Danio rerio: one gene and its partner. The protein of the gene in region 1 purifies or fractionates together with the protein of each later gene. This does not show direct contact. Links are inferred from orthologs where the notes say so. Each region holds a gene or a part of one and is shown on either strand. Other genes may lie near its edges.

The links. Proteins that work in one complex are often made in the same cells at the same time.
Region 2: the proteins of sik2b (region 1) and ppp2r2ab purify together in Homo sapiens (affinity purification with mass spectrometry; 3 studies listed by BioGRID and IntAct, with this or other methods). This does not show direct contact. The link is inferred for Danio rerio from reciprocal best matches to the Homo sapiens genes SIK2 and PPP2R2A.

What each region holds. Positions count from the first base shown.
Region 1 is NC_133190.1:24,253,624-24,257,123, forward strand, and holds part of sik2b (serine/threonine-protein kinase SIK2), read right to left. Parts: coding exon 3,473-3,500; intron 3,380-3,472; coding exon 3,095-3,379; intron 1,275-3,094; coding exon 1,114-1,274; intron 1-1,113. UniProt on the Homo sapiens protein: Serine/threonine-protein kinase that plays a role in many biological processes such as fatty acid oxidation, autophagy, immune response or glucose metabolism.
Region 2 is NC_133185.1:23,747,211-23,751,510, reverse strand, and holds the start of ppp2r2ab (serine/threonine-protein phosphatase 2A 55 kDa regulatory subunit B alpha isoform), read right to left. Parts: upstream 2,801-4,300; 5' UTR 2,515-2,800; intron 1,330-2,514; 5' UTR 1,211-1,329; coding exon 1,204-1,210; intron 1-1,203. UniProt on the Homo sapiens protein: Substrate-recognition subunit of protein phosphatase 2A (PP2A) that plays a key role in cell cycle by controlling mitosis entry and exit. Involved in chromosome clustering during late mitosis by mediating dephosphorylation of MKI67.

The sequences.
Region 1 (3,500 bases):
ACTTTTGACGATTACACTGACAATGATTGTAAGCTGCGCCAGAGATGCCTTGAGATGGCATTTTTTCCTTTACAGTAAAATACTTGTTTACAGAAGATGCAAGAAATGCACTGTTTAAAATATTATTTACAGGATATGCAAGAGTTGATTTAGAAGATATATTTATGCAAGTTATTTAGGCAATGTATGCTTTAATTTCAGTTGTTTAATGTTGATGTTCAATTAATAATCATTGATAGTAGATCATTATTGATAGTAGTGTGTGTTTCCTTCAATAATTTTAAAATCAAGTAATGCATCCTTTATTCAAAAATCTCTCACTTGTAATATGTGAGCACATTTACTGTAGAAAACTTCACCGTGATCTATGAGGGCAAAAAAAATAAATAAAATAAATAAAAATAAAAAATAAATAATAATAGTTAACCGAGTTAAAATGTTTAATTAATCGAGATGTTGATTTTAAGCCAAATTGCCCAGCCCTATGTAAAAATCATCTTTAATCAAATGACATTTAAATATTTTCCCCATAAAATGATTCCTTGATGCCATGAATGTAAATGACACAGTGGTAAATAATCTTATATTGACTATTGCTGTTAGTGATTTGTGAGTTAGTGAATGTATTGAAATTCTAAAAGGACAGTTGCCTAGAAAAGAGTGCTGCTGTTATAATCACAAAAAAACTGTCAGTCGGTGACTATGTACATCGCAACATCACAAAATTCTGTTATTAAAGTGCTTTTATATAATGTTCTGTAAAAAAAAGTTAATCTCCTATTTACATAAGAGAACAAGTCAGCACTGTTCAAAACTCCAGCATTTTGATCAGTAAATGTAAATGCCTCTGATGGCCATTGTATCGAAGTAAATGAATGAACATTAAAATGTACTGGTAATTTACTTTTCATTTTATGTTTGGCTAAACAAAGTAATTTGCCTGCATTAACTCATTTGCAAACTAACTTCATTGTCTTTAAGTTCATAAAGAACAACAAAAAAAGATAGATGTTTTAAATACACCTTTTCTGCTGCCTGATTGTACGGCATACTACAAAAAAGTGACAGGTTAAGCCAAATCTGTAAATCTAGTATCTCTCCTGGTGGACTGACCTGTAGTGCAGGGTCCAGTAAGCCATGTGGATGGGCCTGAGGGCTCAGCAGCCCCAGGGATGGGGTTTCTCCAGAGCCCATCTGCGCGTACACCTTATTTAGCTCCAGGATACCTTTGGTACGTGCCAGATTCTGTAGGTGCTGTCTAAAGGCCACCAAGCCTACACAGAGAGAGGAATAAGATTATGAATAATAGCAGTGTTATTTCCGAATGATTTACAGATCATCAGACGTTCTGCCCTTAGTGTCTACATCCATGTGTGGTCATGTATTTTCAGATGGGAGTGTCAGAACTGAGGAAGTGACTCTTGTTCCCTGAAGCCCACACCACCTCTGACTGCTCCGGTGCACCACTACCACGTGACCTCACTTAACACGGCTAATCAGTCTATTTCAGGACAAGATATGTCCAGGCAGGGCTGCAAATGCTTTATTCATCGCTCAAGTACACATTAAAATGCCGTTTAGTGGCTCTTGACTCCTCTGCTGCCTATCGGAAGAGGGTAGATGGGTTGATTCTTAGGTTATTTTAGGGCTTCAAGTGATTAAGGGTAATTATTCAGGCCACAGGATGAGAGAACTCAATAGGACTGACTTGGCCTAATCTTCAAAGGGTTCTCTGATTCACACAATGAATCATCTGACAGGGGGTGGCGCATTTAGAGGAGGAAAACAAGAGAGAAACAGGGAGGGAGGGAAAGGGTGTGAAAAAAATAATAAGTGTGAGAAAATGAGAAGGAAGAGCAGAAAAATGTATTACTTTTTATATTTTTTTATATCTAATGCACATATAACAGTACAAATGTTAAAATGACTGTGATTATTAGTAAACATGTAAAATTTTACACTTGTTAAGAACATTAACATTTAATGTTAATCTATCATGTAATGTTTTTTATTTCTAATTTTGAACTATTTTTAAAATAGAAATAATATTACCAGCTGACAAATGTCACATGATTCTTCAGGAATCATAATCATTCCAAGATGCTGATTTGATGCTGAAGAAACATTTCTTCTGATTCTGATAGCTGCTAAATATTTTATTATGTATATATTTTTCAATGAAACGCAGCAAATTAAATCCCATATGAATTGGAAGTTACTGCAGACTTTTAAGTATGACGACATATTTCCAACTCAAATATTAAGGGTGTGGGGTTTTACTTTTGCAATTCTCCTCTCATTTTTCACTTGCAGCAAAGGAATGATTTGAGGGTGTTGCTAAGCATATCTCGCCCCAGGCCATCAAACTGATGTCATTCCAGAGGAGAAGCAAATGGTTAGATTTTGATTACAAACTCTTTACTTTCAGTGTAGGGCAGAGATGCCCAAACTAGGGCCTGCAGGCCAAAGTTGGCGCCTTCATGCCATCTGAGAATGGTTTAGAGAATATCATTTTAGATTTATTGTAACCTTATACTTGTTTGTTTTATAGTTAAGCTTCAATCTGAAATGGAACGTTTTAATGCAAACAGTGTAAATTTAATAAGATTTAGTTTAAAATGTACACTTGACGGAGAGAGGACAATGCAGAGACTTTGTTGAGCGAATCAAGGCAAAGACTCTCTGAATCCTAGTGTGTTCAGCATTGAACTCCACTGTGTTATAAATGTGTTGCCATAAGTTATAAAAGTTCAAAGATTCAAAATAATGCTTTCTATTTATTTTTTTAACGTTATGAAATTAATTAGAAAATTACCCATGGTGTTTTTTTAAATGTAAAACAGTTTGGTATACTTTTATTTGACCCACAGCTATTAGTAATATTTGGTTTTTGATCCTTCATTCGACAAAGTTTGGGCACCCCTGGTGTAGGGACTAATTGTTCACTTTTCAAGACTAACAACGCGCTAGCAAAATGTTGTAAAGTTTGATTTCATCCAACCTTTGAACATCAGTGAGCAATCTCACTTAGGGCTGCACAATATGTAATTTTTGTAATACCATTTATTAAGTAAATATATTATATGCCCTTCACCTTGTGTGAGTGATGTGTCTGAAGCCCTGCGGCCCTCTCTGAAGCTGATGGGAGAGCGGTTGTGCGTTTCTCTCCTCTGGGTGCTCAGTGCCTGCATGGTGGGGTTCGCGGGCCGAGCACTGATGAACGGTGGAGTCAAGCGGGTCACTGGTGTGTTGGCCAGGACCACCTCATTAAGAGAGGGCCCGTCTTCAAGCAGACTGAGGTCACTGTGCATGGAGCCCATATCATACTCTGAGTCCACGCTACCCAGAGAGGGGTTATGACCCATGCTGAACAGTTTACCTGGGTAAAGAACAGGATGACATACTTTATAAAGCATTATTGAATTGTTGAATTAACATTTGCAGCATTAGTTTACTAATAAGCCACACTGACCTCCACTTGTAATGATCCCTGGCTGGTT
Region 2 (4,300 bases), on another chromosome or scaffold:
GAATGCCTTTAATACAAAGATCGTCATTTCTAATTTGACGTAACCTCCTTTGCTTGTTTTATTGCTGAACTACAAAAATGTTCACATAAATTAAATGTTTTATTTAATTGTAAATGCATCAATTTTTTTTGTAAATGCAAGTAGTGTCACTCGACGGATAGACTATGCAGAAGACATCAGCAACCAAATCAAGGAAAAACTAGTATAATTTTGTTATAAATTCGATTTTTACTATGATGGGTTCATTATAAAATATACAAAATACTGTAGTTAACATAAATGTTTTCTAGTAAATTTTAAACATTATTAAATAAATTTAAAAAATTACCCATGGTAAATTACCCCACCTATATTTGCCTTCGGCCCAATAACAGTTAGCCTCAATCAATTTGGTTTTCCTTCATGAGAAAAAGTTTGGGCACCCTTGCTATAAGCGGTAATAAAATGTTTTGTGGAGGACGCCTATATTCCATCACTGCCATAAAACTGAACCCTCCCACTCCTCACAGTCACGACTCTGACCTGTAAGATTTCTACGTTACTTATCGGGTAAGTCTGAATAACAGCGTTTAATGAATAAAAGGCGTTCGTCTTTGTCATCCCTGCGGATCCTGCCGCTTTTAGCGGCTTCCAGTCTCTCTGCGAAGCGCGCGGCAGTTTGACTGCACATGACTCTGCAGATGCCGGTTAAAGTTCTCCAGTTCAATGGAGGAGATTTAAAGAGGCCCGCATTTCCAATATATTTATACACCACACCAAATAATACACACAAACAGAAAAGAAACCGGACGTGTTACTCAGTGCCTACTCATTTACACAACCGAGATATAAAAAATCCCGCAGCCTGACCGCGCATCCCGCTAACAAATGATGAAAGGGTTAGCAGCAGACATGTTTCCACTCAAATGAAGCTCATCGCTGAAACACACCTCTATCACAGAAAAAAACAACAGTATTGCTTAAAACATCCTCAAATGATCTTTGCACTATAAATAACATAAGATGGAAATCAGTTTTGTCGATTTACTGGCTAACTGGAGGGAACGAGGCTGCTAGGCGGCTAGGCTACTGTCAGTAGAGCAGGAACGCGATGGTGGCTCCAGTGCAGCCGCTGCGCTCATTGAAACAAACAGAAGCGATTCCCTAGTTCACGGTGAATTGGAACAATCTCTGCTCAAGCAGCTCATAAACTTGTCGAGTTACCTGCCATGGCGAGAGTGGCGATGTCGGACCCTAGTCTTGATAAGCAGTGTGAAGGCGACCAGAGCAAAATTTCCAAGAGAGTCGCCGGAAATGCTGTTTTTCAAAATAAAAGTGCTTCTGATACTTCTGGATAAAAAGGGAAACAAGAAATAAAAAGCAAACAGATTTGTTAAAGGTATAGTTCACCCAAAAATGCTAATTCTGTCATCGTTAATTCACCATTTATTTATTTCAAACCTTTGCATTTCTATAATCTGTTGAGCACTATGCACAAATGATTTTGGAAACCTGTAACCATTGACCTCCATAGTATTTGCATTTACTACTATGGAAGTCAATGGTTACCGGTTGTCAGCTCTCTATAAAATATTCTCTTTTGTGTTCAACAATAGAAAGAAACTAAAATAGGTTTGGAAAAACACGAGGGAGAGTAAATACTCAATTTTGGGGCGAACAAGCATTGGGCGAAAGCATATATTACAATATTTCTAGTTATTCATGCAGGTAACCCAAATAAAAAGATATAGCTGACAGTAAGGTTTTCCCTGTTTTATGAGTTATTATGAAAATCTCTATTAATACACTTTGTTTAACATTGGTTCTGCTTTTGTCAGGACTGATAAATACTAACCATTTGTGCATAATTTATCAAACCAACTTATTAGTGGTCAATAACACTGAAATATTCATAGTGAAGGTAAACAATGCCAAGAGCTTCATATGACAGGCATCTTTGGTATGCAGCTTTATTTACTAGAGTACATTGGAATCATGCCCATATGATTTAATATGATGCTAAAAATACATGACGTGCCAACATTCAATGTTCCTTTTGATTTGGGAGGAAATGCAAATATGCAAATATCAAACATAATAAATAACTAAAATGTATTGTCTATTTACAAAGTTATGTATTACACTGATATCTTTAAACTGAAGTGAATATAAAAATATTTAAATGATATGCAAAAATTGTAATATGCTTTATTACATATAAAAAACAATGTAAAAAAATATATATATCCTTTATTACATAACAAAAAGTAACATATGTCATTAATCTTTCGGTTACTACAATAAAATTGTAAAATACTACATAATAGTTTAAATCAATACTATAATAAAAATCATTTCAGGTTTTAAACAATTTTCCCAGTACTGGGTTGTGGCTGGTAGAACATCCATTGCGTAAACATATGGTGGAATAATTGGCGGTTCATTTCTCTGTGGCAACCTCTGATAAATAAGAGACTAAGCTGAATGAAAACTGATGAATGAATACATTTTATACAATGTTTATATTAAACTTACTTTAAAATCCTTTTCTTGTACTTGTATTTTGAAAGGGAATCACGCTTTCGGGTCCGCTGTTGCGTCACTTCCGGCTCTTACCTTGGCTTACTGCTGCTGCTGCTAGTTTTTGCTATCAGAACTGTCCAGAGAACTTTGCAGGGTTTATTTTATTGCAAGCAGCTCCTCTGCAAATGCATGAAGAGGAATGTCGGAAAGACGCTATTTTTTGTCGGTAGCCCTTCAGTTCGCTATTAAATGTTGAAATGTTCTGTCTTTCCTCCTCAGCTTTCTCCTCCTACACTCCTCTCAACATTCAAAATGGCGCAACCCCGCCCTGTCATGACGTAATCGGCGCTGGCCATTCATCAGTGGGTGCTGGAGTAATGATGTAACGCCACTGAACTTGTGTGGGCAGATGAGGATATGAAATGCGTTTGTCACAAAGTTATGTGCATTTATTTAAAACTTTTTTTTTTTTTTACTTTAAGAAGAGGGAAACAATTATGCCTAAACTTTTTTGGATGGAGTGTCTTTTTTTGATAAAAAATGTGACAACAGACATGTCAGACGATTGTTACATTACTCTGTATATACCACCCCAAGATGTAATTTTTTTTGGACCAACTTCTCTGACTGCATTCAATGGAAGAGAGCATGGTTATTACCTGAAAAATTCAGCATATCCAACAAAATAAGAGAGATACATTTTAAGATCTTGCATAATGTTTATCCTACAAATTCCCAAATTGCGAATTATTTTGATATATCTAATTTGTGTACTTTCTGCAATACACATGAAGAGACTTTATTTCACTTATTCTATAGTTGCACTCACATTAAACGTCTTTAAAATGACATTACTTTTTATTTATCATCCATTTTTAAACATGATTTAAATTTGTCTATAAAAGATATATTTCTGTATTTCTCGGATGATGGTCATGCTCTCGATCTTATTGTAAATTTTTTTGTGTTACACTGTAAATTTTTTATACACAAAAATAAGTTTCTAAAAACAATACCTGTTTTTAATACTTTCCTTGTTGAAATTTCGTATATATTGAATCTCTTAAGCTTATTAATAATAAGAAAAATAATAAGTTTCTTAAAGCTTATGACAATCTTTTTTGTTAATGTTTGAGGCTGTGTATTTTTAATTTTTCTCTCTGTCTTCTTTCTTATTTTTTGTTATTGTATTTTTTCTTCAATGCAGTGATGTTATTATTCTTGTATTCAATAAAAAAAAGATGAGGATATGAAATCTTTTTATTTAATTTTTAAAGTTTATATTATTTATCCTGATCTGTTATTGTCATTGTGTTTTTCTGTGTAAATTGAATTTTGTATGTTTGTTATTGAAGTCAATAAAAAAAAAAGATGAGGATATGAAAAAAATTTACTCCAACAGCATCAAATATTCTACAACATAAAACAAGCTTGTTTAATATCTGTTTTGAATAACGGTTAACACTAAAACATTTTTTGCACATTTCCTCAGTCATTTGTTTTTAAAGATAGAATTATTAGTATTATTGATAATTATGTATCTCACAGCAAGAAGGTCGCTGGGTCGAACCTCGGCTCAGTTGGTGTTTCTGTGTGGAGTTTGCATGTTTTCCCTGCGTTCGTGTGGGTTTCCTCCATACTCCGGTTTCCCCCATAGTCCAAATACATGTGGCAGGTGAATTGGGTAAGCTAAATTGTCCGTAGTGTATGTGTGTGTGTGGATGTGTGGATGTTTCCCAGAGATGGGTTGCGACTGGAAGGGCATCTGCTGCGTAATAACGTGCTGGATAAGATGGCG